Mytilus edulis: one gene and its partners. The protein of the gene in region 1 purifies or fractionates together with the protein of each later gene. This does not show direct contact. Links are inferred from orthologs where the notes say so. Each region holds a gene or a part of one and is shown in the gene's direction. Other genes may lie near its edges.

The links.
Region 2: the proteins of ribonuclease P protein subunit p14-like (region 1) and ribonuclease P protein subunit p29-like purify together in Homo sapiens (affinity purification with mass spectrometry; 3 studies listed by BioGRID and IntAct, counting the BioPlex papers as one, with this or other methods). This does not show direct contact. The link is inferred for Mytilus edulis from reciprocal best matches to the Homo sapiens genes RPP14 and POP4.
Region 3: the proteins of ribonuclease P protein subunit p14-like (region 1) and ribonuclease P protein subunit p40-like purify together in Homo sapiens (co-immunoprecipitation; 3 studies listed by BioGRID and IntAct, with this or other methods). This does not show direct contact. The link is inferred for Mytilus edulis from reciprocal best matches to the Homo sapiens genes RPP14 and RPP40.
Region 4: the proteins of ribonuclease P protein subunit p14-like (region 1) and ribonuclease P/MRP protein subunit POP5-like purify together in Homo sapiens (co-immunoprecipitation; 3 studies listed by BioGRID and IntAct, with this or other methods). This does not show direct contact. The link is inferred for Mytilus edulis from reciprocal best matches to the Homo sapiens genes RPP14 and POP5.

What each region holds. Positions count from the first base shown.
Region 1 is NC_092344.1:46,637,892-46,646,097, reverse strand, and holds the start of ribonuclease P protein subunit p14-like, read left to right. Parts: upstream 1-4,760; 5' UTR 4,761-4,867; intron 4,868-8,206. UniProt on the Homo sapiens protein: Component of ribonuclease P, a ribonucleoprotein complex that generates mature tRNA molecules by cleaving their 5'-ends.
Region 2 is NC_092348.1:15,791,753-15,800,482, reverse strand, and holds the start of ribonuclease P protein subunit p29-like, read left to right. Parts: upstream 1-5,115; 5' UTR 5,116-5,219; intron 5,220-7,087; exon of another isoform or gene 7,088-7,153; intron 7,154-8,730. UniProt on the Homo sapiens protein: Component of ribonuclease P, a ribonucleoprotein complex that generates mature tRNA molecules by cleaving their 5'-ends.
Region 3 is NC_092348.1:201,852-210,465, reverse strand, and holds the start of ribonuclease P protein subunit p40-like, read left to right. Parts: upstream 1-5,110; 5' UTR 5,111-5,120; coding exon 5,121-5,240; intron 5,241-6,030; exon of another isoform or gene 6,031-6,081; coding exon of another isoform or gene 6,082-6,099; intron 6,100-8,614. Other genes in the region: pyruvate dehydrogenase phosphatase regulatory subunit, mitochondrial-like, read right to left, coding at 1,837-1,967, 2,311-2,552. UniProt on the Homo sapiens protein: Component of ribonuclease P, a ribonucleoprotein complex that generates mature tRNA molecules by cleaving their 5'-ends. Also a component of the MRP ribonuclease complex, which cleaves pre-rRNA sequences.
Region 4 is NC_092346.1:2,263,483-2,271,474, forward strand, and holds the start of ribonuclease P/MRP protein subunit POP5-like, read left to right. Parts: upstream 1-4,742; 5' UTR 4,743-4,822; coding exon 4,823-4,842; intron 4,843-6,402; coding exon 6,403-6,539; intron 6,540-7,128; coding exon 7,129-7,266; intron 7,267-7,992. Other genes in the region: ATP-binding cassette sub-family B member 10, mitochondrial-like, read right to left, coding at 1-199, 1,673-1,876, 4,054-4,306. UniProt on the Homo sapiens protein: Component of ribonuclease P, a protein complex that generates mature tRNA molecules by cleaving their 5'-ends. Also a component of the MRP ribonuclease complex, which cleaves pre-rRNA sequences.

The sequences.
Region 1 (8,206 bases):
TGACAGAAAATGAATACATATGATAGATCCGTGTTTTACTTCCTCGGATACTAATAATAATAACTATGTTTTTGTAACTATTTCCTATTTTCAAAACTACACATGTACAGTTATGCTACAAATCTACAAGTCCCTCAGTTTATGGCTACACGTGCTGATCTTATCTATAGTCATGCATATTCATTAGCTATGTAGGCGTGTCAAAATCGTATCATACGCGATAATGACCAGCCAGAACACACTGTAATGATTTCATTAACCAGTATTACAGTGAGTTGACTGTTAGTGTTGCTCTCCACCAATTGCAACTCATTCAAAATTTTGACCAAATTGCAATTTGTTTTATTAAAGCAAATTGTTCAACTGGTCAGAAAAATGAACAAATTGTTCAGTCAAAATGTGAAAGTGCAAGGTGATAAAATAAAATATACTTACAATCCTATAAGACTTTAACTCCACTTTCATGATGTTGTGACAAAAATTAGTTTATCAGTTTGTATAGTTATATTATATTCATTTCCATGCTGAAGGGGAACTGTTTATTTTGAATTGCTATTAAATTGTTCAAACTAAGCTTTCATATAGTTTTTCTTTCTAAAAGTCTTCTATATTTATAAGAATCAGATATCATTTTAAATAAAACATCATATATTCAGTAAAATATGTGTGAAATAACAATATGCTATTGATAAATTTTCAGGGGAGATAACCTAAAATATTATTCTTTTGAATAAAGACTTTTTGAAAGAAAAGTTATTATCTCCCCCATGGAAACTTCCTACAAACATATATTGCAATTTTACACATATTTTACTGAATATGAAATGTTTTAATTCACATAATGTCTGATTCTTATAAATATAGAATACTTTTTTGAATTGCTATTAAATTGTCCAAACTAAGCTTTCATATAGTTTTTCTTTCTAAAAGTATTCTATCTATAATACTAAAATTACGAGGTCCAATTTGTCAGCCGTCATCACGTAAAAACGACGAATAAAAAAATTCAACTTTATTTATGACTAATATAGGACAATGCTGTTGATTAAAAAGTACTCCATTCCAGGACCTTTTGTTTTCCAAATAATTAATATTATCAATAATTGATAAGTTCCAGTTCGACGGGTTCAAACAGAAAGATTTGAAAGCGGAGAAAACTGTGTATCTTATAATCGGCATGACTTTATCAAATGACAATACTAATACTAAAATAAGGCTTGCGCATAGTTATATACTTTAATTCAGTCACGGACCTGCGATATCACGGGTGTGTTCTAGTATTTATAAGAATCAGACATTATGTGAATTAAAACATTTCATATTTAGTAAAATATGTGTAAAATTGCAATATATGTTTGTAGGAAGTTTTCATGGGGGAGATAATAACTTTTCTTTCAAAAAGTCTTTATTCAAAAGAATAATATTATTAGGTTATCTCCCCTGAAAATTTATCAATAGCATATTGTTATTTCACACATATTTTACTGAATATATGATGTTTTATTTAAAATGATATCTGATTCTTATAAATATAGAAGACTTTTAGAAAGAAAAACTATATGAAAGCTTAGTTTGGACAATTTAATAGCAATTCAAAATAAACAGTTCCCCTTCAGCATGGAAATGAATATAATATAACTATACAAACTGATAAACTAATTTTGTCACCACATCATTAAAGTGGAGTTAAAGTCTTATAGGATTATAAGTATGTTTTATTTTATCACCTTGCACTTTCATCACTTGGCTGTGGTTTTCTACAGCAGTTGGTTCAAATTTCTGACCAGTTGAACAATTTGAATTTAAAAAACAAATTGCAATTTGGTCAAAATTGTGAATGAGTTGCAATTGGTGGAGAGCAACACTAACAGTCAACTCACTGTAAAAAGATAAACATAACATCCCCCGCCCACAAATTAGAAATTTCTAAAAATTTCTTACTGGTAAATGAAATCTATTTATATAAAAATTATGAATAATAATAATAAAAATTAAAAAAAAATTGAAACAATCTCTAAGAAAATACTAATTGTACTTTAATATACACACATTTAAAACTTGAAAAAAAAATCATAAGTTCTCATAAAATAATAATTCTATGTGTTAAATTAAATAACTTCAAAATTTGTAGTCAAAAAAAAAAAAAAAAAAAAAAATGTGACCGGGATTTTGTTATGAGGGTCAAAAATTGGTGGCCAGGTGGAATCAAATGATTCAAGAGATACGAAGTATAATAGGGGCCAAAAATTGGTGGCCGGGATTTGTGAATTGTTTGAACGTTGAACAACAGATGTAGTAGCGCAAAAGATGTTATGCTAGAAATAACCTATGTGTTCATATATTAATATCTATTTTGATTGAATGTTGTAAGAATCTTTAATCTCAGTCGACAGTGATTTAAGAAATAATTCATGGAAGCCATAGATTTGTTGGAAATTTACACATGGCCTGGGCCGTGATATTCGAATTTTATCCTGAGCGTTAGCGAGGGAAAAAATTAACGAATATCACGGTCCAGGCCATGTGTAAATTTACAACAAATCTATGGCTTCCATGAATTATTTCGATTCTAATAGGACAAATAAGTTCATTCAAATACTGAAGCGAGAGTGGTAATGCCGTGTGTGAAGCTGTTCTTTTTTACTCCTTGTTAGATAAAGCTCAAATATTCTCATAAATATTTAGCTTGCATTGATTATTTCGTTAATATCGCTGGAAAAAATATGTTTAATTCTCAAACCCAATATTTCCGATTTTTAATTTACATATTTTCTCGTAAGCTAGCTACCGTCAAATCCAAAATTGACATTTTGTAACGAAAGAGCTGCCATGTTGACTCGATGAAATCAAAGAAAAGAAAACAAAACCTACCTCAGAATTCCATTTTAATACAATATTATACGAACTTCGATGGTTACAAAAAAAATAATATTTTTGTGACATTGTCTAAATATTGTTTTTATACTGCAACTTAAATTAGTATATTAATAGCTTTTAAAATCGTAACATAAATATCAAGCTTATTTTCATCCCTTAATGAACCCCTGATTGTAGAGAAAGTGTTCCATGATGAAATTGACATTGCACAACATAGCTGTGTTACTATATTTAGGAAATAAACAAAACTAGTTGCATTATATTAATTCTTTTTATTATGCATCCGAATAAGAATAAAAGTTCTTTTGTCTTTTGTTTTATTACAATTTCTAATACAACAAAATTGGCAAAGCGTTTGCAAAGTAGATTCAAATACATGTGGATTTACGTGGGAGGATGAGGGTCGTGACCTTTTTAGCTAACTGGATGAATCAGACAGGTGTTAGTAAAATTGACAACTTCGTGCAATGTGAAATGTCGAAGGGGATTTTCGGTTAACAAAAAAGAAAATGTATTTTTTTAATAATTAGAGAAACAGATTATTACATAGTTACTCGTGGATTATCGGATTTATCCCATCTTGATAGTTAAATTATCAATTTTAAGTCCTCGCCGAGGCTCGGACTGTTAAATTGATAATTTAACTATCAAGATTGGATAAATCCGATAATCCACGAGTAACTATGTAAGAATCCTTATATTTAAAAACTGCCGAAGTAACAATAAACCAAAAGGCAACGATTAATGAACTAGTAACACCATTGAAGAAGCTAGCTGCATGAAAAAACGAGTTTATAAAAGGGTATATGTACACACAAAACCAGAAAACTCACTGCCCTGAGTAAAATGAACTTGTTACGATATAATCAATCAAAGACGCATTCAAAATACTACAATATTATAAGTCCGGATAAATCGTCTTACATGTCTCTTGTAATATCTTATAAATTAATTGCTCTCAGAGTAATTGCTAGTTTAAAGTCAATATTAACAGATATATATATGTTCAGAATTAAAGAGTTTCTTTAAAAGTATATGAAATGCGTGACATTTGTTGTTTAAATGGAGACGAAAGATACTGTGGCAAACTTGGACATTCAAGAGCAGAAGACAACACCATGGCAAGAGAAACAACCAAAAGACAACGTTACAGTATACAAAATTCATACTAAAGACTGAGCAACACGATTGAAGAAGCTAACTGAAAATGGTCTACCCCATTTTAACCAGGGTAGGTGCTCACGGTATGCCATGATGGTCAACATCCGTTAATATAAACATATATCCGTGTATTATATATATATAAAAAGAAGATGTGATATGATTGCCAATGAGACAGCTGTCCACAAGAGACCAACATGACACAGAAAATAAGAACTATATTATATAGTCAGTCACTGGGATAATATGGGTTAATATCTCTGAAACCAAAACATTTAGAGCAAATCTGACGAGGATAAAATTGTTTATTAGGTCAAGGATTTGTATAGTATACAAATCCTTGATTAGGTCAAGATTTATAAGCATTTTTGTTTATTCCTTTGTTGTTGCTTATTGATTCTTTGCCGCTATTCCTATTTTTTGTCGCGTATATTCTTTAACCCCCTACACAGGCACTCAGATCTCAGAAAAAAATATTCCTACTAAATACCTTAATATTACATTATATAATGTTATATTAGATATTTAGGGGGGGGGGGGGAGATTCTGAGATAAAATTGCATACATGTGGTCTTCTATTTTGTAAACCCCATACAACCCTCCTTTAACTTTGAGATGTTAACAGACAAAACTCGTTTTATCTTGTAATGACCGGGTATTAACCGTTCGCTTAAATATATATATGGGTACTGTGTTCTTTACTAGCAACGCCAAAAATATTTTACCTTTCGGAATCAATCTAAGGATTGTTCCGAATGGAATAAATAGGACGACACGTGAAATGAAAAATGATCAGATAAATATTGACGAGTAAAGACAAACACAACAGGTTCGTGACATTCTACAGATTCTGGAGTGATTGAAAATATATAACTCAGTTATTTTGATAGGGACGGAATTAGGTGGAGATATCGTAATCTAAAACAGAATTGGCGGTCACCGTTTCGGGGTATCGGGTCCGTTCGCCCTAATAACATGTTCGCCCTGGCTCTGTTCGCCCTAAGTTCGTTCGCCCTACTTTTAAAAAAGAACTATCAATGAACATAGTAAAGGCAAGGATTTGAATAGTTAGGGCATCAAATTTGATAAACTTATTCAGATATTAATATGATATATATTCTTGGAATTTATGTAAACACATAATATGCGTATCGTGTAGTCATCTGTTTTGAAGACAAAATTTGAAACTGGATGTTCTGCAAAATTTTATATAAAGAGCAATTCGGCACTCATTTCCAGGTTTAGTCTTTTTTTTATCAAATTCACAGGAAATCATCGGCATATTTAATTTTTGTACCTTTGATAGTGTTTGAATACAAATTGTAGTAAGTGCACTTGCTTTATTTAGCATGAAATCATTTTGAATTTACGATTTAGTGTCTAATCTGCGCAAGGATTTGTATAGTGTCACTATACAAATTTATCCTTGATCTAGGGAAGAGGATTTTGACATGCATATTACATAATAAACAAAGCATATGTGTTAGTAGTGACTTTTTTGTTCAGAAATTAAATCAAGTTTTGATCTAATTTTAAAATCATATTTGACAATTAGCTGAAAGACAGTTGTTATGGAATTTTAATTTATTTTCAATTTAGTTCTAGGCTTGTGATCAATAGCCAGGTTTGAATTAAAAATATAGGTGAAGAGCAAGGGTCCGGAAACGGTCATATATGCCAGTCTTGACCTAAACTGAAAGTATTTTGTCCTAAATGAGTAACTGGGATTTAGGACAAATTTTATTTTTTTACAGAAATAATTTCGGTCATCCAATGTCTTTTTGTTGAGATTGAGTTTCTAACATTGTCTAAATCGCCATTTTGAACTTATTTTTTGTTTGTTATCCTTTTCCTGTAATAAAACTGCCACTCCAGTAAAGTGTTATAATCCTGAGGGCCCTCCTAATAACTATAGTAATGCCTCTGGGAAATATTGGCTAATGATCGCTAATCTCTTTAACTGTGTACGTTTTTAATTAATTTTTTTTATTGATCACGAGCTCAGAACTAATATTTTAAAGAAATTAAAAGTTCATAACAACTGTCTGCATTATTTTATTACTTTTCTCAGCTTAGACAATTGTCAATTCTGATTTAAAATTAAATTAAAATTAAATTAATTTACGTAGAACAAAATGTTGTTTCACTACAAACACACATGCTTTGTTTACTAATACGCATGCTTGAAATTCTATTCCGCAAATTAGACACTAAATCGTAAATTCAAAATGATTTCATGCTAAATTAAACAAGTCCAACTATTATAATTAATATTCAAACACTATTAAAGGTAAAACAGTTAAAAAGCCGACGATTTCCTGTGAATTTGATTAACAAAACTAATCCCGGAAATGAGTCCGGAATTGGTCGTTTTACTATTGTCGTAAAACATCCAGTTATAATTTTGGCTTCAAAATCGAAAGAAACGTAAGCGAAGTTTGAGAAATTTATCGTTTTGAGTCATTAAAATCATTTCATTTTTAAACTGTTGCCTTCCTTTTATTGCTCAAGATCGATTTTAAGGAAAATGGTAGGGAAATTTCTGAAATAAATGCGATGCAACAGTTAAACAAGTTTGTTAATGCTACGAGTATGACTGTATGAGCATACACACAATCTTTGTTTGAAAAAGGGCACCAACTTTTAAGTTATCCCAAAATGACCGAAATTAGGTGAAAAAATTTCCGGATCCTTGGTGAAGAGATTAGTGATCATAAGCCAATACTTCCCCCAGGCATTTATATAGTTATTAGGAGGGCATTCAGGATTAAAACACTATACTGGAGGTGTAACACCACTAATTCGGGCCCGGCCAGTAAACACATACCAGAAAGTAGTGCATATTTAACACAAAATAGTTCCTACGCATGAGTGTAACTTTCAAAATATGTAGAATATTTAGGTATTTTTGGTATCAAATAAAAGCTGAAGGACTGGTGATCATTGTAGAACACTTTTGGACAATTTTGAATATTAAAAAAACTGCATCAAATTTTAAAAAGAGGGTACATTTTGTCTGTTTGTCAGATCTGATGTACCTGTTTGGGTACATCCGAAGATCTGGGAACCAGTTCTTTCTTATTTGCAATTAAAGGTATGTTGATTTTTTCAGTACAAGACGTACACCATAAAGTGTTGCTTTGCAATGCAATGATTGCCACTTTATTTGAACTTAAAACAAAAGAGGTGTGCCTGCTTGAAACGGAGGAATTTAACATAGAAAGCAATGGGACCATGAATTAGTGGTGTACTTCCTGGAGGGGCAGTTTATTACCGGAAAGGGATAATAAAACAAAAACAAGTTCAAAATGGCAATTTAGAAACTCAATCTCAACTCAATGACAGAAATTATTTCTGTTAAAAAATAAAATTTGTCCTAAATCCCAATTCCATGTTTAGGACAAACACTTTCAGTTTAGGACAAGACTGGCAAATATGACCGCTTCTGGATCTACTCAATCTATTCTCATTCTATGTTTATATCGGAGTAAGGTCCCTTTGATTTGCATAGTAACTTAATTTCAAAATTGTTAATCTTTGCTACATATCAATAGATTCCTTTGTAATATTTTCCCTTGAATTTCTTTTGATATATCTGCATACATACATTGTATATGAATAATCAGCATGTTCCAGAAAGGCAGTGTCTGCGCGTAACCGCATGTGGGTACGAATAGTCAAATTGCCGTTCTAGGCTGCACGTACCCACATCCGGTTTTCTATTAAAATGCCATCGGATCGAGAATGAAACGTGAAATATATACGGAAATTATCGATAATATTGGGATTTCGTGTAGAAAGAGTGAATAGTATGAAAAATAATATTTTCAAATTGTATTTATTAAATAATGATACATAATAAACATTGCAAAATTAAAAACACAATGATGTAAAATGAAACTGTACAGTCCCTGTAAAAGAAAAACATGATAGAAATTAATACGATTATAAAATTTAAATGAAAATTTAAAGAATAACATTTTAATAATTTAAAAATATACCCATATGATATTTTAAAACAATCTTTTAGTAAAATGTAAAACAGAAACTGAAATTTTAAAATATATAAAACTACTAAAATTAAAGCTTGAGTTTATAAAAATTAAAGAAGCAAGTGATAAATCAATTTAAACCAATTATAAAAGATTCATGTAACTGACTAGTTAAG
Region 2 (8,730 bases), on another chromosome or scaffold:
CTGGTTGTTAATACATTTAGTTTCAAACACAGTGCGCTCATTGCAAAAGGACATTTTTCGCCAAGCTTTTCTTCGATTCTATTGAAGTGAAATATTTTGTATTTAACTTTCAGCTTGATAAATTATAGTTATTAGAGTACACTTTAGAAGTTGCAAGTGATTACAATGCTTGGAAGAGTAAAAATCGATTGATGACAACATCGGTAAACAACTGTAGCCTCAATTTGCAATCAGATAAACCTTTTGTCAATGTTGAGTTTGAAAAAAATATATATTACACAGCTGAAAAACGAGATACTAATACTTAGATATAAAGGGTGAGTAGTTTCTTTCTGTACAAATAACACACAAACATAAATTGATCTGGCTTCAAATGCAGCTGGATGGCAGCACTTACTTTCAAGTCAGGCTCAGTAAGTGACAGGCTGAAGTTACGGGTTTGTACTAACATGTGCAACACGACAAGGTCTACACGTGGAGCAGAATCTGCTTGCCCTACCGGAGCACCTGAGATCACCCGTAGTTTTGTTGTCACAGTTCGTGTGGCTCAGTCTTTAGTTTTCTATGTTGTGTGTTATATACTGTTGGTTGTGTCTCTGTTCGTCTGTTCCTATTTCTATTTCAGTCATGGCGTCGACTTATTAGTTTTAATGTCCCTTTGGTACGTATCTTTCGCCTCTTTTTTAATGTCATGTTAAGTCATTGTATATCACATCAATTCCACAGCATTTCAAAACTAGGGAAAAGTTGTAGCATACTAAATTTAACGGTATATCCTGCATATTTTACATGATTGAGTAAAATAAATATCAATTTTGTTGCTTTTAGATAAGGGTTTCGGAATGGCCGGTACAGCAATGTTATGGTCAAATAAAATAACAGAGAAAATTACTGTTTTGAATGAGGGGAGTCATAGAATTAGTGCAGTGACACTTAGTGATGATATTTTAGATTTTAATTTGTATTGTGTTTATATGCCGTGTCAAAATTATTCCATGGATTTATTTGAAAGTACTTTGGACGAACTAGGTGAAATTATGACAAAGTATAGTAACTCAACAACTATAATATTAGGTGACATGAATGCCAGTGTGAATAGGTCAAAGGGTTATCGCCAAGATAAAGCTTTAAAGTCATTTCTGAACGAGAAACATCTGTCCGTGCCATAGGACTACCCAGAAGAGCATACATATTACCACCACGGTGGGAAACAATCTTCCCAGATTGATTATATAGTCATATCCTCAACTCAAATAGATAAAATCTCAGATATAAAAGTCATGATAGATGAACCGCTTAACACTTCATCTCATAGGTCAGTGCAGGCAACCTTGTCATGTTTCTTTTCAACAAGAACTACTAAGTCTGGAAAATCGATTTCAACACTGAAGAAAGTGAACTGGAAAAAACTTGACAATGAAAAATATGAAAAATTACTTCATCAGAGACTTAGTTATATGTTTATTGACAATAGTATTTTCTCATTTATCGAAATGAGCTGTGAAGAACTTTTTAATATTTTAACTACAACCGCCTTTGAATGTGCACCAACAATTTCTGTTGGAAAAAGGAAACGTTCATGGAACTCTATGCTGCAACAACTCTGTAAACAAAGCAAGGATGCACATTGGAAATGGAAATCTCTTGGGAGTCCGTCTGACATAAACGACCCTGCAAACAGAAAACGTCTCGATATGAAAAGAGAACTTAGAAAACTCCAAAGACAATTGAATGCAGAAGAGCGACATTCTCTCTATCAGAACATTATGGATGCTCATTCTGGTGACAATGCCACATTTTATAAAATTATTCGCCGTCAGAGGCAGAGTGGAAAACGCTTACTCGACTGTCTGATCATTGATGATGTTCATTTTGATACACCTGATCTTATTCGTGAGGCATGGACAAATTATTTCACTGATTTATCTACTCCGTCTGAAAAACCGCAGAATCAACAGTACCGCTCTCAAGTTGAGCTAGACCGTATTTTGCTTCAAGACATATTGGAACATGAAGATGAAAAAACTATTGAATTTGATATTGGAACAATTCAAAAATGTATTTCTAAAATGAAAACCGGGAAAGCTACTGACCAATTTGGAATTTCTGCTGAACATTTTAAATATGGAGGTGAAAAAACAGCCAAAATACTTACAAACTTGATAAATGAAGCATTTAAATTTAAGCGTGTACCACAGTGTTTCAAAGAAGGTATTGTTTCACCGTTGTTCAAAGGTCATGGAAAACCTATCTGCCTACCAAAATCTTATCGACGTATAACAGTTTCTCCTGTAATGGGAAAATTGATGGAATCGGTACATCTTTGTTTAGAGGAACCTAAACTACTAAAGGTACAGAGCAGACTTCAACGTGGCTTTACTGCCGGGGTCAATCCTACTTTTGCAGCACTTCCCCTGACTGAGGCAATCATAGAAGCAAAAGAATTAGGACAAACATTATTTACTACTTTTGTTGATGCGTCATCCGCCTTCGATGTTGTTTGGCATGCCTCTCTGTTAAAAAGTATATTTAAAAGTGGAATATCTGGACAAAGTTGGCAAATCTTAAATGACTGGTACACGAATATGAGCTCTGCAGTTCGATGGGAAGGCAAGTTATCTACTTCGTTTGCTGAACTCCAAGGCGTCCGTCAAGGCAGCGTATGGTCTCCCTCTGTATACAAACTTTTCGTTAATCCGCTAATAAAAAAGTTAGAAAGTGAAAGTTTGGGTTTTAAAATTGGTAATGTGTTTGTGGGTACTCCAATGTGTGCAGACGATCTGCTACTTATCTCTTCAAAACCTGATGAACTCCAGACTATGATTAGTTATACTTCCCATTTTGCAGAGACAGAAGAATATAATATAAGTAAGGAAAAAACTAAAGTTATGATATGGAACTCATCTTTGAATTGCAACCTTTGGAATCAAATGGAAAAGTTTCACATTGGCTCAGAAACATTAGAAACTGTAGAAAATTATAAACATATTGGTATTGATAGAGACTCCCGTGAAGTAGAGGCAACAAGAACAATTATTGGAAATCGTTTAAAAACTGCAAGACAGACTTCATACGCACTTATGGGCTCAGGACTACATGGTTTAAATGGACTTAATCCAGAGGTGTCATGTAAACTTTGGTCAACATATGTGGTTCCACGTTTGTTATTTGGACTTGAAATTGTAAATCTTAGTGCTAAAGATATTTCCCGCTTAGATATCTTTTGTAATAACTTTTTGAAACAAATTCAAAATTTACCTGCTAGAGCCTCCAACGCTGGAGCTTATCTACTTTTAGGTCAATTACCTATTATTGCACTTCTACACAAAAAGATTCTGATAACGTTTGGTACCATTGCCAGAAGTGACTCTGTCGAAAATGATCTTGCTAAGCGTCAACTGTCTACAAAAGGAAAAAACTCTAAAAGCTGGTTTATTAGGGCTGACAAGATTTTGAAACAATATAACTTGCCGTGTGCCTCAGAAGTTTTACTTAAACCAGAGACAAAATACAAGTGGAAAATGAAAGTAAAAAAGTGTGTTGATAACTTTTGGTCCGAAAAACTGTTTACTGAAGCCAAATCAAAACCGTCATTACGGTACTTAAATATCAAAAACTGTAAAATTGGTGTTGTTAATTCTATATGGAAAAGTGCTGGTTCAGAACAAATGTGTATACGTAAAGCCTGTTATAAGATCAAAATGCTATTGGATACATATATTCTACAGTACCACCGTTCAAAATTTTCAAATGGTCAAAAAACTTCAATTTGTCCGCTATGTGAGGAAGGAACTGAGCATTTAGAACATTTTCTTGTCGTATGCTCTGCCTTAACAAGTATTAGAGACATTTTTATCTCAAAGCTTTATACAGTTATTGTACCAAAGATTGGAACCGTTGCATGGACTGACATTTGCGTTAGTAACTCGAAAATGATACAATTAATCTTGGACTGTAGTCGTTTCGAGTGGTATCATGTGTTAGAGAAAAATGACATAAATTTGGTGGAATCAATCACTAGAAGCCTGTGTTACTCGCTCCATGAAAAGCGTAGTGTGCTCCTTGAAAGTAAATAAACATTTAAAAGTTGTAAGGTTTACCAAACTCATAGGCTGTAAATAGATAAAATTGTTTAAAGATAAATGTATAGTGACTGGAAACAGATGTAAATATAAGGCAACAAAATTTTACTGGATGAACTCCAGGTTCTCCTGATAGAGGAGGGATTTACAGAAGGTAACAGGTAACATTCCCCATATCTCCACGTTCCCCAAGACAAAATTCCTGCATCCGCCCCTGCCCTGACTATACTAGTTATGTATGTCATTGGGGAGTTTAAGCGTATATAAACTCATTAACAGAATCAAATTCGAACCAATTCTTCTAACGACAATGAGGACTTTCGTTGTTTTTTGATATGTGGTGATTCCAATAAAAAAAATCGCCCATATTAAGACTGAAAATGCCGTCCAAACTCTAAGGTATATTTAGAAAGAGCAGTCCATAAAATGTGACATTTTTTTTGGATTAACTTGGAAATCTACCTATGGAAAGGGTAAATATTATGCTTTCAGATAAACACTGTTTGTAGACTTTTTGATTTCTTTTCTCTTTTTAATACTGATCAATACTTTCATTGAGAAGGGAACGGTTATCTGACACGGTTATATTCCCTGACAATTCGCTCGGATGTAACAATCATCGATAGTTTAGAATTTGATGTTTGGCTTATCTAACTATATTGAAAAATATATCAAAATTATAAAATAATTTGAATTTTGACTAAACATTTCTTACTTTGACGTAGACAACTTGACCAACTTCAAGCAGATTTAAATTAACAGGATTTAACCCTTATTACATGTGGCGAGTTGGTTAACCAGTTTGGTGCGAGTTGGTGCGGGGCGATTTTTTCAAAGTGGGGCGAGTTGGTGTGTAGGATTCCATTAGTTAAATAAATCTTTAGAACACTAAGTTCTCTTCTGCTAAGCATATACATGAATATATGATTAAACAAATGGACTGGAGGTCAGTATCTTGCATAATATAGTTTATTAAGATATTTCACATATTTTTCTTTTATTTAATTTTGTCCACATCTATTTTTCTTCATTATTAGGTATTTAGATTCACCTTAATATTGATCCTAGTTTGGAGTGTCATTCCCCATATCTCCACGTTCCCCAAGACAACATTGTTCAATATTTTTGATACATTGTGTAAGTATTCTTGGGTTTCATATGTCTTTTAAGTGATCTTAAAATTTAGAAAGAAAGTTATGATTAGTCTCTGTTGTAATTGTATAGTATGTCCATTATCTTGTAGAAGTCACAGGAGTTTGAAATCCTAATAACAGTTTAAAATATACCGAACTCGACTATCACAGTAGAGCTTCTCTGGAACCAACTCCTGTGTAGAAGTAGAAGATCTGGAATCTAATTCCCAATTCCCATAATTGACCCTGTAATTAAATATTCCTATTTAGTTTTCTTCCTTATGAGGGACATTTTAATTTTTATCATGTTTATTTACTAGCAGACTATATTAATAGCATGCCCTAGATAAATAGAATTCAAATGCATTGTATGATTTAGAAAATTCATAACTTAACTGGATTTTGCTGTACACTTTTTTTCGTCCCTGCAAAATTAACAAACAGTTGAGTTTACCTTGATATGGTCCATTCAGGTACACAGTTTAAATAACCAATTATTGTCAGGTATCTATTGTCCATCTCATGTCCATGTCAAGCAATACAGCTCACTTCAATTATTACCTGTGGGGAAGTTCTCAAACCTGTTTCCCAACTTAGTTTATTTTGGCACCCTCTGGAGGAATGAAAAAAAGTGCACGGCAAAATCCTGGTAAGTTTTTATTTTTCTAAAACATAAAACATATTTGAAATTTATTTATCTAGGGCATGCTATGCCTGAAATTTTTTACAGATGCGCAGGTTTGTCTGTACTCAGAGTAAATTTTGAGGTGAAAATACGGCCATTTTAGCCATAGGGTCCACATGAACCTTTAGAGCAAATTTCATAAGAGCAAAATTAATTTGTTGTTAAGCTAAATCATGAACATGTGTAAATGCTTTTGACATCAGAATTTTTTTTCATGAAAAATTAGGGGAAGGTCTAAAACGCGGAAGTGAAAAATGGGTGTATTATAACTAATATCTGTGGAACCGCTTAAGCTAAATCAATAAATAGAACTGATTCTGAAAGCTATTATAATAGGCTATAAGATAACATTAAACAAATATTTATTAAAATATGCATTTTTACCGAAAAGTTGACCGGAAGTCTTTCTTAGTGTGACTCTGGCAACACATTTTTGAACATAGTTTGTTCAGTAGTTACTTTTAAAATCACAATTCCCTAATGTGGTGGTGCTGATTGTCAATTATGAGAATTTAATTTGCCGAATAATTTATGCAATATAGCTTTATAGTTTTCCAACCACTTGCTAAACATTGGAACGGAATCGATGACACCCCTAAATGCACGAGTGACGTTCACTGAAACCAAAGTTTTTGAAGGAAATGCATCAAACTCAAAAGTTATCTATTGCTTTTGTGCAAATCAAAGGAAATTAATTATTTGGTAGCAGCAATAGACTATAGTATTGCCAATAGTATTATATATGATACAAGACAAAAGTTGCTGAAATGTCCAACAAACTTTAACATACTCTCCGGAGCACCTGAGATCACCCCTAGTTTTTGGTGGGGTTCGTGTTGTTTATTCTTTAGTTTTCTATGTTGTGTCGTGTGTACTATTGTTTTTCTGTTTGTCTTTTTTATTTTTAGCCATGGCGTTGTCAGTTTGTTTTAGATTTATGAGTTTGACTGTCCCTTTGGTATCTTTCGTCCCTCTTTTAACTTTATTCAAATAATTAACATTGTACAACAAGACAACAGAATAAAATAAAATCAAGGGGAAAGACCCATGCCAGAGTAAACAAATATTCAGGCTAACATGTACATGTAGTTGGATGAATAGATCTGGATTCTCTTAACTTGTAAGACTTGTAAGGAAATTTATTTTCACAGCTTGCCTCCTTGACTTAAATGTATTTTTATGAGTGACAGTTTTTTTTATATTTGGAAGTGGATTGCCAAATCAGATCATGATCATTCTTCTGTAAACTACAGGTGACTTTGTAATACAATATACATGTACATTTTGTAAAATTACAAGCCATTCAAAAATGACAGAAATCATTGGATGTCTCTTATTAAAGATTATTGGCCTTAAAGTCATAAGAAACGAGTGACCGGTGAAAAAAAATGTTCTTCCATCAGAGCTCAGACATAAACAAGTCCATTTTTGTTTTTGACTTAAAGAAGTCAAAACATGTATTTATTATAATACAATGTATGTGTTTTCAATTTTAGACTTATTTAAGTCAGAAAAAGACAGACTTGTTTACATGTAGGTCTATTTATGTTGATGAAAAAACTTAATTTTACTTGGTGGCCAAAGTACTCCACCTATGACAGCAAAAACCTGTCTGAGAGTTCACAAGGACTTGAGCTATCTATATTTAATTATTTAATTGAACATCCTTACTAAGCACAGATGTTTTACCTTATTTAGTGTGGTTCCAGGTGGTTGTTTTGTAAGGTTAATTAACATTATCTCCAATTTTTTAGACTCTCATTCATATTTTTCTATAGAAGACAAAGCATTGTCCTTCAATGTTGTCATTATTTGATTTAGATGCATGATTTTTTTATAAATATGCATGGGTCTTGAAGTTAACCAATTTTGATAACTTATCGACTTGTAGGAGTCGACATTTGCAACTTTTTGATTCTGGTCAATTATTTCTTGCTTAACAGTATTTGACTTATTTAAGTCGTATTTTGTCTAGCATTAAAGGGAGACAAATCCTAAAACATACAAATTTAGACCTCTATGAGTCAAAAGCAGATTCAGACTTATTTATGTCTGAGCTCTGACTGTCCAATTCTTGAACCAATGCATACAAACATCATTAAGTTAGTCTTCTGTGCACGAATTTATCATTTTTTTCGTGTAAGTTTCGTATAATTGTCAATTTTTTTTTCAATCGGTCAGTGTTTTTGTGAAAATATGGCAAGTAACTAAAGTTCGTGTTTTGAAGCTGAAATTTAACGATGGTCACCTCAGTGAGTGAGTGTTTGTCAACAATCGACAAAAATCTACAAAATTGAGCACGTGTTTAACATGTAAATTCAGATAATAGTTTATTTTAAGGACATCCATTCGTATTGTGATCACTGGATTTTTACGAGATGGGTCACACTGAGGTCACTTTGCATACGGAAAATATGTCGGGGAATTGCTTCCTGGAAGGAAGCAATTAAAATAAAGTAAACTTCTTCTAAATATGAATAAATTAAAGAATTTTCTTCAGAAAAAAGTATATGTACATAAGTTTAATAATGAAAACTATCCATTGAGTTATAAAAAAACATATGCATTTTTTTTTTGATTTGAGGTTTCTTATGACTTTAACTATAAATTTGTGTTTGCATCAAGTGCATAAAAACTATGAAGGGTGATCAAATGTTACCAGGTTAGGGAATCAAGCTCTTATTTAGGTCTTTAGGAGGTTCTACTTTTTAAAACCTGTATGTTGCTGATGTCTAAATCATGACAATGTACATGTATTTCAACTAGTCGTATGTACATGTATATAGAACTGATAATACTTTACAATGTTCCTGAAATGTGATTGCACCAA
Region 3 (8,614 bases), on another chromosome or scaffold:
TCAATATCATTGTTTTATTTATTCATTTCTAATAGGAAAACTATGTGCTTACCAATAGCCTATTTTTATCAGAGGTCCCTCATTAAATAAAAATACATTAGTCCAAACTTAAGACATAAATGAGAAAATTGTCCCCCCTTTTTTCTTTAAATTGGAAAAGGGCTTTTTTTGGAATAAACCATAATTCTGTGGTAAAATATAGATTATTTAGAGCAATTTATATATCCCTCAGCTAGATAACTTGCTAAACTGGTTCAAAATTGCATGTACAGTGAGATTTTAGAGCAGGCACACCTCTTTTGTTTTAAGTTCAAATAAATTGGCAATTATTGCATTTCAAAGCAACACTTTATGGTGTCTTGTACTGAAAAAATCAACATACCTTTAATGGCATATAAGAAAGAACTGGTTCGCGGAAATTAGGATGTACCAAAACAGGTACATCAGATCTGACAAACAGACAAAATGTACCCTCTTTTTAAAAATTAGTGCAGTCTTTTTATTATTCAAAAATAAAAGTCCAAAAGTGTTCTAAAATGCTCACCAGTCCTTAATCTTTCATTTGATACCAACAATACCTAAATATTCTACATATTTTGAAAGTTACACTCATGCGTAGAAACTATTTTGTGTTAAATATGTACTACTTTCTGGTATGTGCTTTCTGGCCGGGCCTGAATTAGTGGTGTTACACCAATATACAACTTTCGAGTTCGATGCATTTCCATCAAAAACTCTGGTTTTAGTGAACGTCATTTGTGCGCTTAGGGGCGTCGTCACTTCCATTCCAATGTTGAGCAAGTGGTTGGAAAACTATAATTCTATATTGTACGAATTATTCGGCAAACTGAATTCTCAAAATTGACAATCAGCACTGCTGTCATTAGGGAATTGCCATTTAGTACCTACAGAACAACCATTATTTCTAGTTTATCCTGCACAATGAAATTAACTAAGACGCCTGATGAACCTAAATAGTGCAGGGATACAGACGACCCCCTCTATCTGGTAAATGACATCATAAAGGCAGGCATAATTGACGTGTTTCTGCCGGTGATGGATGAACTCGAAAGTGGTCTACTAGATTGCATTATTGTCTCCTTTGACATGTTTGATATCATTAATATATTTATTCACCCTATAAATAAAATATTCTTATACCTAAACTATAATTCTTTGATTGAAAAAAATCATAACTTCAGTGTCAAAAAAATCAGTAAGCGTTTAATAAAATTATTTACTTATAGATATAAAATAATTATTGAAATTTCCACATCCAAACCACATTTTTAGACTTATGTTTATAATTTGACTTTTAGTTAAAAGTTTCTAATTTTCAATGACCTATGCAGATATAAAACTGACATCATTTTCTAACTTTTCTACTGACCTATTCAGATGAAATAATGACCAATGAGATGTTCAGACTTCCCATTGACCTATATAATACTGACCAATGCCATGTCCTACCTTTTCTAATGACCTGTACAGATATAATACTGACCAATGCCATGACCTGCCTTTTCTAATGACCTGTACAGATACAATAATGACCAATTCTATTTTTGGACTTCCCATTGACCTATATAATACTGACCAATGCCATGTCCTACCTTTTCTAATGACCAGTACAAATATAATAATGACCAATTCTATGTTTATACTTCCCAATGACCTATATAATACTCAGACCAAATGCCATGTCCTACCTTTTCTAATGACCTGTACAGGTATAATACTAACCAATGCCATGTCCTGCCTTTTCTACTGACCTATTCAGATGAAATAATTACCAATTCTATGTTTGGACTTGCCAATGACCTATGTTATACTAACCAATGCCATGTCCTGCCTTTTCTAATGACCTGTACAGTTCAGCACTGTACTTGACTAGTCTAGCTGAAGGAACATCATCTCTCAATTGACCAATTAAACCAACAGAATGCCATGTTGTTCCACATGTATATCTACAAAAGCAAGAGTTAAAAAAAGAAAACCTTTTCTACAAATTTTACCATGTTCATCACATTTTACATGATTTTGGCAGTTATCTTGGTTATGTTAAATTCAAGTAGTTGATTTGCAGACTTAATTGGTCTGATATTATTGCCTCCTCAAAGTTAAAGTTTTTTTTAAATATTACAGTAATATTTTAGCATTCACTTCCGGTGTAGGTTATTAAAGTCCCCTGAACTAGCAATATACAACATAATTTCACCCTCTCTCTGCTAGTTGGTAGCTAGCTATAGATGTCTCAGTTACACCCCTATTAATGTTACAATATCCCCTGACCCACTGTAGGCTACTTACTTCCCCTGCTCCAACAGTACAACATCATTCCAACCTCTCTCTGCTAGATGGTAAGCTATAGATGACCCAGTTACACCCCCACCACATATCACCACACGGGCATGCTTTGGCAAATCAACAACTGTCTTCAATGATTTTGATGCTTCGTTATTGTTTATACAACTTCTGTGGAAAGCTCTGTAGAAGGCATCACTTGTACAGCGTTTGTGTAAAGGAACTTTTAAATAGCGGATTAAAGACATACTTGTTGCTCAGTCTGTTCAAGTCATTTTTAACATCTTATAACAATCCAGTTTGTCATTAGTGATACTAGATATTACACTGACTATGTTAACAAAGCAACTTTATCTAATGCATATCCTGGGGTCTACCCATATCACCAGGGTCATCATCTAGGACGAAACTATTTAAGATCTAAAATGTAAATAAACAACGTTTATAATATATACCTGAGGTCAGAAAATGATAATGGATAAAACCTACATATAAGAGTCAATACTCCTGGCCTAGATTTAAAACTCATCGCAAATATTTTGATCTATTTCAGTTAATAAATTGTATTCATATCAAGATTGTCACCTCATCAGACCTTCCTTGACATTAGACAAAATGTTAGATGTTAAGATGTTTATTATGATAGAGATTAAGCCTCATAAGCTAAAATTCAGCTAAAATCTGGTTTTTATATTTTAGTTTCATCAATCTATATATGTCAAGGATATACGATTTTGTAGTTACTTTGACAAACAGACTGATTAAAATAATTCACTTCTTGTCAGAAATGTTTAAAAAAAATTACAGTTTAGAAAAAAAAAATTAAAACTCTTGAAGGGATTTATATTGCCATCATCCCTCTGTTGATAGTTAACTTTACACATTAAATTCAATAATGTTTATTGAACCATTTTATACAAGTACATTTATTAGAAATTAACAAAACTTGGCAGGTACATATATTCTTTTAAGTAAGCTGATTCTACCTTGTGTATGTGGATTGAACTACAGTTTTGATGAAGTTCACTACAAAAAGTGCCACTAAAAACCTCTAGGTATGCATCTTAGGACATAGAAATTTGTAGAAATTGAGAATACCTTCACACAAATATACTTTCTATTTGCCTGAGCAGTTGAAATGACTGAACTCAATAATATTATTGAAATAACAAAAGCAACCTGCATTATACAACGTTATAAGAGAATTTATAACATTGGTTGCAATGAATTACATTGATTTCCCAGTTAAATAAAAACCGATAATTTCACATGTGAAATAACAACTATTTCACTCTCTGACGTCATACAACAATTGGCGTTGTCAAGACATCAATAAGGGGGGTCAAAACAAACTGTGAATGCATAGGGAAAAGATATAAATGTAGTTGCTTACATGTTTTACATTAATTTCTTTAAAAAAAGCCATTTGCCAATGTAAGAAAAAGAATAACTAATTAAAGAATTCAAATATCTAAAAATATTCAACTTGTGACCCAACAACACTGATAATTAACTCATGGGCTGCGCAAATTCGGAAATTAATGTGAATATTAATGACATGGACATGATTTCCTATATATATATGTAACTGAATTTATTATAGGATTTTATAGCTAGGACATGATTTCCTAGGAAAATTAGTCTGGGGACATAGATTACAATCCCCGGACTAAATATATTTATACTAGTAAATTTTGTAACCATGTACTATTTTTTTGGGGACGAAGTCCCAAATTACGGTTGAAAAATCAATAATAAAAAAAAAAATTCAGGAAAATTTCCCCGAATTTTTCATTCTACTAATGAACTCAAAATCCTTAACTTTTTTTTTCAGATCTACTTCCTTTTCCGGTCTTGTTTGCATGAGACTTTGAATAAAATGTATATAAATTCAACATTCAATCATTTTTGATAATTGTTTGATAGGAAAAAAATGTTACCTGGATAACAGCGTTTCTTTGTTTACATTGAATATGACATCATAACTTAAATAACGTCACAACTAAATCCCTAGCAACAGAACCAATATCGGAAACGTTACGGTATTTCCGTTTCTTTTATCAACATGATTGAATTAAAAAAAAAATAATACAGACTTCGTCCCCATTCACAGGTAATGCCTGCCTCATATTACAGACTTCGTTCCCATTCACAGGTAATGCCTGCCTCATATTATACATATTACTAGTAATATTTTTTCAACCAGACATATTTTACCAGGAAACTTATCACTTAAATACAATTACCATGATTACAGTCATGACAGTTAATGTTTTCCTTTTGTTCTGTTGACAAAGTCTAACGTTTGATTTTGTACGTTTTCATGGACTTTCTCTTTTAGATTTTCAATGAAGTATAGTATTATTGTTTATATTTTCATACAGGTCAAATTGAAATCATTTCTTTACACACTCCCAGTGACTCTGTGTGACACTCAAAAAAATACAACCCTACACTTTCCTTTGTCTCAGAGACAAAGATGACAAAGTTGATTTTCAGAGCAAAACTCATGAATAAAACTATTATTGACTTACTGTTTAACACTGAACTATATATAATACAGAGAGGTTTAACTAATATTGCTGTCTGCTCTTTTTACAGTCTCATGGAGGCATAAATTAAGGCATGCGAATTCTGGGCTCAAAAAATATTTTCATATGTCTAAAGAACAAAAAAAACAACAAAACTTATTCTTAGATTTGAGAATATGTATAATTTTTAATTTCCTGTAAATTATTAGTAATTTTACATTGTTGATAAAAATATGAAAACTTATTTGTAAGCAATGTTCCGGTCTTTAGGTAATTCCGAAGAAAATGGCTGCGCCCATAGAGAAAAGTTTACCCATAGGAAAACTTGTTTTTGAAAAATCCAGCTTTAAAAATGAAAAGTCTAAACATGAGGAGTTTATAGAAGATCATCATTTCAATTATGCAGTATGTTGACTAACCAATAAACACACCAGCACATGTTCAATGTTAGCTGGTCAGATACAATGTAAAAAAAAAAGGGGGGAGGGGGATTTAAGATGGACAAAAATGCTGTTTTTACACCTCAGAGTACAGACTAACCTGTGTAGTTGGAAGAGTTTGAAGGCCTGGCATCCACCAGATTGAATCCTGGTTTGTTGGCCCTTATGTACAATCACCCTGGCACACATACATGTATTTGTCCGCCTAGTCTGAATAATTAGGCCTTTCAAGATGTATAATTATTTGGACTACTTTTCGCCCTAATACCTGTATGGCCAGGGTCCAATCTTCATGCCTGCCAAATGTCACTATTTGCAGGGGATTTCCAAAACAAAAGTTCCCAAATGAAAATTTTTGAAGAGCAATTGTTGAGGGGGGATAGGACCTTTATCAGGACTCTGGGATCGGGTGTTTTTAAGCTCTGGATTTCGGGGTCCGGGAATTCTTTTTTTCAAATTTCGGGATCCGGGATTTTACTTAATTTAAATTCGGGACCTCGGGATTTCGTGTTTTAAGCCCGGGATTTCAGGATCAGGACCCCTCCTACCCCCCCTCATTGTTTTCCACAATATAAAACGAGGCATTGGCTAGGACGGTTACAATACATGGGAATATTATTGTTACTTTGGAGACTAATTGCCGGAATGCAGGGTTGGGCATAGGCACTAGCCTTCTGTCAATAGTAATAAAATTTTGGCAATGGGAAGAAAATAGTGTCCATGGCACATGCACTAGACATGCTAAAGGTTTGTCTACGGTTACAAATTGTGTTATTGTTTCATTAAAGCACTGCAAAGAAGTATTCATGGGACTAGTAATACATGTATGTACACTTTTTCCATGGTCGGGTTGTTGTCTCTTTGGCACATTCCCCATTTCTCAATTTTACATTTGTATTAAAATCTGATATTTACAATATTTCATACAATTTTTTAAAATTTTTATTTACATTGAACTACAATTTTACGAAAGGGTTTTCTCATTGACGAAAGTATTTCAAATCAATTTCGCCACTTTAATTTTTAAAGTGTAAAAAAATTTCGCAATAAAAACTATAAATCTACCTGTCTTCATGTTTTCGACAAGTTTATGACCTCCAGGTAATTAACATTTTCAACAGGTGTTACAAGTTGTGATTACAACTAATCCGCTTATCTCCATCGGATGGGTCACTAATCCGTTAATTATTAATAAACCCCATAATTGAATGACCATCATAATTATTTCACCAGGAAGATCAGTCACTCGGCATTTCAACAACCAGGAGTATAGTTTCGTCATTTAATAAAAAAATATAACAACCCGGACAGTTCGCATTTGGATTTCAATATTTCTCAAACGATCACAATTTGAATGTCGTTTGTCGTAGATTTGTCATTCGAAAGCATTTTCGTCATATTTGATTTAAATTTTCATCAAAAACTTTCGGCAATTTCAATTTAGAATAAGGAACTTTAATGTGTTTATTCAAAACTTGCACGAGTTAAACAGGTGCTTCCTGTATTGTGATCTAGGCATGCGTGAAAGTATTCCTTTGACTATTTATATACATTAAAAACGTAAAATACGCAATCATTTAGAATCAATTAAATGAAAGAGACAAATATATATCTCTTACCAAAGGAATTTAAATCGAAAAATGTTAATTTTCTGATGAATCCGGACTCATTTTGAATTTATTATCCAGGTGTCACTTCCCGTTTTCGTTTCATTTTAAAACCGAAAGTAGTAAACGTGATCTATTGTTGATTTGTTTACAACCTCCTTTCAGTCATTATAATAGTTCCACAAAGGATTTTACACATTTCCAACTTGATAGAAATGATTTCCAAAAATCGATTTAGACCTTTTATAAGGATTTTGATTATGAAGTGAAATAATCAGTTCAAGTTAATTTCTGCTGTGATTCCTTGTTTAAAAAAAAAAGAATCCATCTTTTGTTGATCAGGAATGACCCCTGGAACAAACTGAAGAGAAATTGTGAACTAAATTTCTGGATTCCATTTCAGAATCTTTCATAATAATGACCAATACAGTCAACATGGTCAAATCATACAATAACTGCCAATCATGCTGGTGCCTCAATCCCTTAAAATCTGACAAAGTCAAAAGATGAAGCTAGTAATATACATCATTGGTCCCTTGCTTTTACACAAAATAAGGTTGATTTTAATAGAGTTCAAAAGTGACTAAAGCCCTCAAAATCCTAGCTTAAACCCTGCAAATCCAGTAAGTTGTTTTTGGAGCATATTTTAGTCCGATGCATTTTTAATGAAATCACTCTAAGCAGCCATGCAACACCAACCAGTGATGTGGCAACTTGCATGCTCTGTATTCCTTACCGTACACCAACCAGTGATGTGGCAACGTGCATGCTCTATTCTTTACCGTACACCAACCAGTGATGTGGCAATGTGCATGCTCTGTATTCCTTACCTTACACCAACCAGTGATGTGGCAATGTGTATGGTCTGTATTCCTTACCCTACACCAACCAGTGATGTGGCAACATGCATGCTCTATTCCTTACCCTACACCAACCAGTGATGTGGAAACGTGCATGCTCTGTATTCCTTACCCTACACCAACCAGTGATGTGGTAACGTGCATGCTCTGTATTCCTTACTGTACAATTCCATTCTGCACTATCTCATTTTGCCATGCTTCAGTCATGTCAGTTGGAAAATATATTTGTACTCTTGCGATATTTTTTTTATATGAAGCATGTGAGGTTTTTTATAAATACATTTCAATTGTGAAAGTAATTAATGTTGACATGGTTGACATTTGCCTACAGGTTGAAACTGGTGGAAACAGTGATTTTCATTTTCAAAGTCCAGATGCAAATGTATTTTGGGATTGTAATTTCGTTCTTGTTGGTGACAGTACATGCTCTATTGACACAAATGATTGAACAGTTCATGTATTCATAAATAGTGTACATGTTGTAGTAGTATCTTTAAGAACATCTAAATAATTGATACTATTTAAACATTATTCGTTTTATAATTATTACTAATACCATCTAGAAAGAATTAAGTATCTAAACTTCAGAAGGTTTAAGTTTAATAAATCTAGCATACATTGCAGTCTTGAATGTAACAATAATGCAATGTAACCGTAGACACAAATATTATTGTTACATTCATAAATAATCGATTCCTTACCCTACCTTGCATTCCGGCAATTAGTTTCCAATGTAACAATAATTTTTATATTATTGTTACATTTTCATGTAACCGTAGCTAGTGCCTTAAAACAAACCATTTAATTTTCCAATGGCTATAGGCTTTAAAAAGTATGAACAAGCCAAAAAGAAAAAAGCAACATTAAGATAC
Region 4 (7,992 bases), on another chromosome or scaffold:
ATACCAACTCCACCTGTGGCTTGTGCGACAGCTCGAAGTCCGTCAGATATGTTTTGAGTAACAGACTGGCCTACAAGAGTTGTGTCTGCAGATAATCTATTCACTAACTCGCCAGTCTTTGTTTTATCAAAGAACCCCATTTCTTGACGCATTATTGATGAAAAAAGTGTTTGTCGAAGTCTATTAATAATTCTATTTCCTGAAATCAGATATAACATCAAAACATGAGTCAGAAGTACATCTATTCTGACAAAATTAAAACATAAAGTAAAACAGGGGATTTGCCAACTACTTAAAAATCTGTTGGAGAGTTATTTCTTTGGCATTCCTACCACATCTCCTTATTTTAAATAAATTCTGAAATGACTCTTAGCACTCTCAAAAAACTCTCTTTGTATTCTTATCTATATACTGTGAATTCATTTATTTTCATGGGTATCAATTTTCATCGATTGAGGAAAACTTGCATTTACGGGGATATTTGATTACGTGGTTTTGCCAACTTCTGCATACAAAGACAGTCTGACTATCAATGACTATATAAAAAACTTGTAATTCGTCAAACATTTGAATACATTGTTCACTTGTATACTTGAAAACCAACGAAAAATTGGTATCCAACGATTAATAATAATTTCCACAGTATTGTTTATAATTGAGCATCACATTATTCTCCATTCTTTTAAATCTTTATCACAATTATTTCTTTTATATTCTTAAGAAAACAGAGATTACGAGATAACAATTGAGAGCATATTATTTAGTTATATAGACTTAAAAGGAGAAAAGCAGTTGTGCCAGTGCATCCACCTAATTGCTATTTATTCCATTTCGGATAAGTTCTAAAATTACATCTTTTTCATCCAGTTGAAGCTATCTGGGACCCTGTTTAAACAATTCACCATGCATGATACTTTTTAATGAGACCTGTTTAAACTACCGTAAATACTTCAAACAAAATATTTTTTTAGTTCAATTTTAATTTCGAAAAAAGTGGATCATACTATATCAAAGTTTCTTGATGATCACTTTCTAAAGTTTTTTCTCACTCAGCTCACTACTGATGACCTCCATTTTTCGGCCGGTGACCCAAACAGGAAGTTGTATAAATGACTGTTTTTCCCGGAATGGACTAAATAGTGATAAGGTGTATTGTATTGATGGTTACTTGTAATGATTTAAATTATCTCCCTTACTCCAAGGGTCATGTAAATGCATGATTATTGATGTTTTTCTTCCCTTATTTTTTCCTACCTCATGTTCATTTATTGATGTGTCTTCATAAATATCAATTCTATATGTTTATTGGAGCACCATATTATTCTACAGTCTTTAATTTTTTGTATGGCCCATAATTCTCTATTCTGTTAAGTGTTCACTCCATCCAGACCCTCATAGATTCTAGCAGTTTGTGTGAGTTAATACACCTTATTGCTATTTGTCCGTCATTACTGGATATCACACAGGTTCCCGTAAAATTTTGACGCCATAAAACAAAATATCTGATGCCACAATGGAAAAGTGATTGTTGTTGACGTCAAAAGTTCAAGCGGCCTCGTCAGCAGGGATTAGCGATAAGGTGTATTATATTTACATGGTGAACATGATGAATGTGTGCACTATTTTATTGATTTGGCATACAATAAAGTCAATCAAATTTCCAAATATTTACCTGATACTGACATTAAATAAACTCTTCCAAAGTTTGCTACGGCACCAACAATAAATACACCAACCATTATCTGACAGAAAGTAGTAAGTTTCTCTTTCATTTTTTCTTGTTCAGATGGTGAATAAATAATATCTATAACTTTTCCAATACAAAATGGAACTGCCATGGAAACACCACTTGATATGATCAATAAAACAACAGCACCTAAAAAACAATGAAAAATGATATAAATACTGGCCAGAACAAGTGATATTATTCTTTGTGTTCTTTAGGCTTGTTTGTCTAAAAGTAAAAGAAACCAAACAATATGTTTATGATTGTAATTTGCATTTTCAAATAATTTATTTCATGTGCAGTTGGTTTTTTTTTTGGTAAAAACATTATTTGATGAGGATATATATCATGTTTATCTAATTATTGCAATTCTCTAGCAAATGAATTTATAAATCACATACATGTAGCACCTTTGATTTTTACCAGTGGTAAGTCATATACATGTAGAACGTAAGCCATTTGGATTCCTCATTTGTTCCTCCAATTTTCCTTGCACTCTTAAACAAGTTCAAATAGATTTCTCTTTTTCAAATTTCAAAATGAATTTATAGAATAAACTTGTTTTGATCTTAATGGTCAACATTGAAGACCCATTGGTGACCTTCTGTTGTTGTCTGCTCTATGGTCGGGTTGTTGTCGCTTTGACACATTCCCCATTTCCTTTCTCAATTAATTTTTTTAAGTGAACACACTTATACAATGTAGTACAATTTCTTAACATTATGTGTCACTTAGTAACTTAAACAGCTGCATAAATTTACATACATGTATGTTTTATGTATTTTAACATTTTTGTTTAGGGGCCAGCTGAAGCTTGCAGGATTTTTCTGCTGTAGTGAAGACCCTTTTGTGCATGTTGTGGCCTTCGTCTGTTTTTGTGCTCTTTGTCATATTCCCCATTTCCATTCTCAATTTTATTTAAAATGTAAATGTTTATGTGCATGATAATGATGACAGTTCTCATGTATTTTATTTTCATCTATGTGTAGAATAGTCAGTTTAAACATTACTGATGAGCTGTATGTTGTACTTTTTTGTATATGAATGGGTTCTAAATAAAGATTATGATTATTTACAACATGTACAATGCAAACTAGTCTAATCTGTTTAATAAATGTTTTATAGTACACATGTCCTTTTGTGTCGTATTGTTACACCACTGTCTCGGGTTAGGGCGAATGTTGGCATCAGATAAAAAGTGCAAACCCGCTGCTTTTCTTAATGCAACTGTCCTAATGAAGGTAACAGATGTTCAGTGGTTGTCGTTTGTTGATGTGGTTCACCATTGTTCATACGTGTTTCTCTTTTCTGTTTTTTTTTAACATACATGTAGATTAAACTGTTGGTTTTCCTGTTTGAATGGTTTTACACTAACCATTTTTGGGGTTTATAGCTTGTTGTTCTGTGCTGAGACTACTATAACACAATCTCTGTGTTATAGTAGTCTCAGAACTTTTCTGTGTGAGCCAATGCTACATGTTGAAGACTGTACTTTGACTTATAATGGTTTACTTTTAAAAATTGGGACTTAGAAGGAGAGTTGTCTCATTAGCAATCATACTACATCTTCTTATAAATACTGATTAAATAAAGGTTGTTATTATTATCATTCTACAGTCAGAGCTCAGACATAAATAAGTCTGAATCTGCTTTTGACTCATAGAGGTCTAAATTTGTAAGTTTTAGGATTAGTCTCCCTTTAATGCAAGACAAAATACGACTTACATAAGTCAAATGTTGTTAAGCAAGAAATAATTGACCAGAATCAAAAAGTTGCAAATATCGACTCCTACAAGTCGATAAGTGATCAAAATTGGTTAACTTCAAGACCCACGCATATTGATAAGGAGGTCATGCATCTAAATCAAATAATGACAACATTGAAAGACAATGCTTTGTCTTCTAAAGAAAAATATGAATGAGAGTCTAAAAAATCGGAGATAATGTTAATTAACCTTACAATGCAACCACCTGGAACTACACTTAATGAGGAAAAACATCTGTGTTTAGCAAGGATGTTCAATTAGACAATTACATATAGATAGCTCAAGTCCTTGTGAACTCTCAGACAGGTTTTTGCTGTCATAGGTTGTGTAGTTTGGCCACCAAGTGAAATTAAGTTTTTTCATCAACATAAATAGACCTAAACAAGTCTGTCATTTTATGACTTAGATAAGTCTAAAATTGAAAACTCATTTTATGTCAAATACATGTTTTGACTTCTTTAAGTCAAAAACAAAAATAGACTTGTTTATGTCTGAGCTCTGACTGTTCTATCCAGTATGGTGCACATTTTGTGCCTTATATGCTATCCAGATAACACTTGCCTGACAACTTCCATCTCTCTGGTTTTGCAAGAGAAAACAATCTCCTTATTTCATATGTCTTTTTCTTTAAGTTGTCAGGTGCCTTTTTATTGGTAGCTTTGACATTAGTAAATCTTTTTAAAATATGGAAGACTTTGGGTTTATCACATTTCAACTTCAAAAATTGTCTACCAATAACTGATGACCTATGTCTGATATTATTAGAAGTCAATCTTTGACTTAGCAAGATACAATTTCTCATTAATATGGTCATATTTATTGCATCAGATCTCCAAACTCTTGGGTTTATGTGTATCCGGCTGTGTATTACGTAAGATTTTTCAATAGTCTGACAGATGGACCACTGGTTGACCGGTTATTTCATGTTTTGATATTTTTTTACAACACTTCTCTTCAATAATGTAAACAGTAGACATCTATAAACTTGATCATGATGATTGGCCTTAAACTTCTTTCCTTAAATACAAAAATAACATGTTCCAAATGTTGACATTCATGGGCGCAGACATGTTGGATAGACATAAATTGTGTATTCTAGTCCCGTTACTTGCACGGTCATATCTTAAAATTCTAGTGATGAAATTACATTTTTTTTAAAATTTTATGAAATATCCTTCCTCATTTAATCATTTATAGTTTATCCTATTTTTCATAATTGCAATGGATGGCAAATAAAAGTTCAAAATTTAATGATCGGAAACTTTCATTCGTAATTTAACTTATTTCACAAATTTGCTAGAGACTGAAAGCTGATAAAAATAAAAAGAAGATGGTTCGGTTCAAAAACAGGTTCATATACATTAAGTGAAAGTGATTAAGCAATTTTCAGAAGGGGGACCCAGGTTAAAAAGTTGTGTGTGAATGTGTTCTAAATATATGTGCCCATTCAAATGCATTTATCATCCAAAAAAGGGGGGTCCAACCCCTGCCCCCCCCCTTTTTGGATGCGCCCTAGTCCAAATAATTATGACGTCTGGCAAGTCTTTTCCTGGGACGCCTGCCTATGACGGTCCTAGGAAGGGATCCCAGAAAAAATTTAAATAGCCTCGCCAATTTTTATAATTATTTGGACTAGATGCATCAATTCTTCTATACAGTTGACATGACAATTAATTTGAGGGTACAAATGAATTTTGCCTTTAGATGCCTAATGTTCATTTTCAGCTACCTTTAGGAGGGTAGTAATGCCTTTTACCATCAGGCCTCAAACGGTCATTTGCGAAAACCATGACAACCGTTAGCATCAAATTGGTTAAAATCTTACTGGGATTCGTCAAAATCTTAAAGTGATTCGTCAAAATCTTAAAGTGATTCGTCAAAATCTTAAAGTGATTCATCAAAATATCTATATTGTGATTCGTCAGAGGTCTCAAATAATTATCGTTAACATCATTTTTGGAAAAAAGATAACGAGATGCTTCAAAATCAGTCTATTTTTTTTTATCCTGGAAAAGAAAGTGTACACTTTATCGTCAATGCAACAAAAATTATGTAAGAATTTTTACTGTTATTCATCATGAAGGTACCCCATTACTACCCTTCTTTAGCACTGCAACTATTACAACTGTTCCAAATAAAACAAGAAAAGAAAGAAGTCAACATTATAAACATGCATGCATGGTGATGTACAACTGTACAATGTATAATGATCAGTGTCAAACTGTATTTATAGATTATGGTTTAGATGACAAACGTTCACTGTACCAGCTCAAGCGAGAAAATGCGATAGAGTTGGGATGACCAATGATGATCTGTTCATAGCTATTTTACCAACAATGTTGTCAATTTCATTGACGATGGCACATGCAACCATAGTTTTTAGCAATAATTATTCATATCACTGTACTGTTCCGAGAAAGGAAATTATCAGTCACAAAGATCAAAAGAAAGTTTTGTAAAGTAGCAATAAATACATACAACCATTTTTCACAACAATTTAAGTGTTAAGCTAGTACTGAGAAACCAATTTTGTTTCTCGCAGAAATTTATGAAGTCTATGTATAGTATTTAGATTTTAGAAAAAGTTGAAAAATACAGAGGTCACTTAAAAAAATTACTAATGCATAATGTATATATATTTATATCTAGCCAAAAAAAAAAACCAAAGGGATTAAAATTTTTAGGAAAAGTTTGAGATGTGAGTAGAAGGTATCCTTTCAACAGCTTAGGTTCTCTTGCATTGGACTATTACTAGTATATAGAAAAAAATGTAAAAAGAGGGTTCACCATTGTATTTGATCAAATTAACATATAATCCTGAACATGAACAACTTTCAAAACACATTCTTTATGATTCAATGAATTTTACTCTACTAAAAAAAAATTGATTTTACTTTAATTATATTTCAGATATTTAGTGTGTGAAGTTGTAACAGATGGCAGGAAACCAGAGTTTTCACAGATGGACTTTCTTCGTTGTTTGAAAGATACAGTATCAAAATATCATGGAGATTATGGCACAGGGTCTATTATGACTTCATTATTTGGTACATAAATGTTATTGTTTGTGTTTGCTGTTGGATTGCTGTCTCTTTGACCTTTACTCAACATATTTCAAAGTCATACATAAGAATTTCTGTATTCCAGTTGCATTTTCTCACTGCCATTTTCAAGTTTCCATTAAATCAGGAAAATGTATGAACAAACAAACTGATTCAGTTATTGGAATAAACTGTAATGAATATTTCAGTTCTTTGCTTTACTTGTGTAATTGCATTCTTCTCTAAATAAGTAATTGTAATTGTAATGTAAGGGATGTTAATTGATTTTTTTACATATACATGAGGGTCTACACAATCCAATGTCAAACTGAATTGCTATCATTAACTGTTTAATAGCTGCTATTTACTAGTTCTTCATATATTTAGCAGTCTTTCAGCTGTTCTTAGCATTCAATCTAAAAGCAGCCAAAACTGCCTAATTTCACCATTTATTAGCAAGGCAGGGGTGTCTTTGTTTTTGTATTCTTTATTTTTTTTGCTCATTGTTCCATTCTCTGTAATTTTGGTCCTTTTATCTCTATTTGGATAAGGTACATATTTGTATCATTAAAACATGAATATTCATTTATTTCAGTGAAATATTTTAACCCAGACACTGGGATCATTATCATACGAGTTAAACGTGGATGTCATCTGATGATCCAGTCAACTTTAACCTTTATGACAAAGGTCAAAGATTGTGAAGTCATGTTACATACTGTTCACATAGGAGGTAAATATTTGTTAAAGTATATTGGAGTCTTTTTATTTGTGATAGAATTCCATTTGAATTTGATTCCCCTATTTGCTTTGAACATGTCCGTCGCAAAGTGGTTAATAAATCCTTTATGTGACATGTGACGGTTGCCATGTAACCATATCATTTTGACTAACAATACAATCAACACCTTTATTAGTTAGTCCGTTGTTGTCGTTAGCTATAAAATGCAATCAGCTGATTATTGATTTTCTGTCAAAATCTTAACGAGTTCAAGGTGAAGAGTTCAAGGTGAATTCCGAGTACTGTCTGATCAGGGAAAGTCAGAGAAACCCGAAAAAAGTAAATAAACAAGATGGATAAAAATAAATTGTTATATATATTTCTTTCGCCAAATTCTTTCACAAATGACAAATTTTAATCGACACAATTATTATTTTTTAGCAAATTGTGAAAATGTTGACGGCCAGCTGCAACCCTGTACCCTAATATATAACTACCAGTACATTAAATATGAATCAGGCTGTCTGTGAGAGACATAACTACAGAAAACTTCTTTTCATCATATCTTTGTAACTTTCGACAGTCCATTATTTCATTCACAATTTGTAACCCCATAATCAAAATGTGACAAACAACAGACATATGGAAAATATTGAATACCTTTTACATGATATAGAAGAAGACATATGAGACAGCAACCCAAACAAATATCCAAACAAAATCTAGAGATCAAAATAC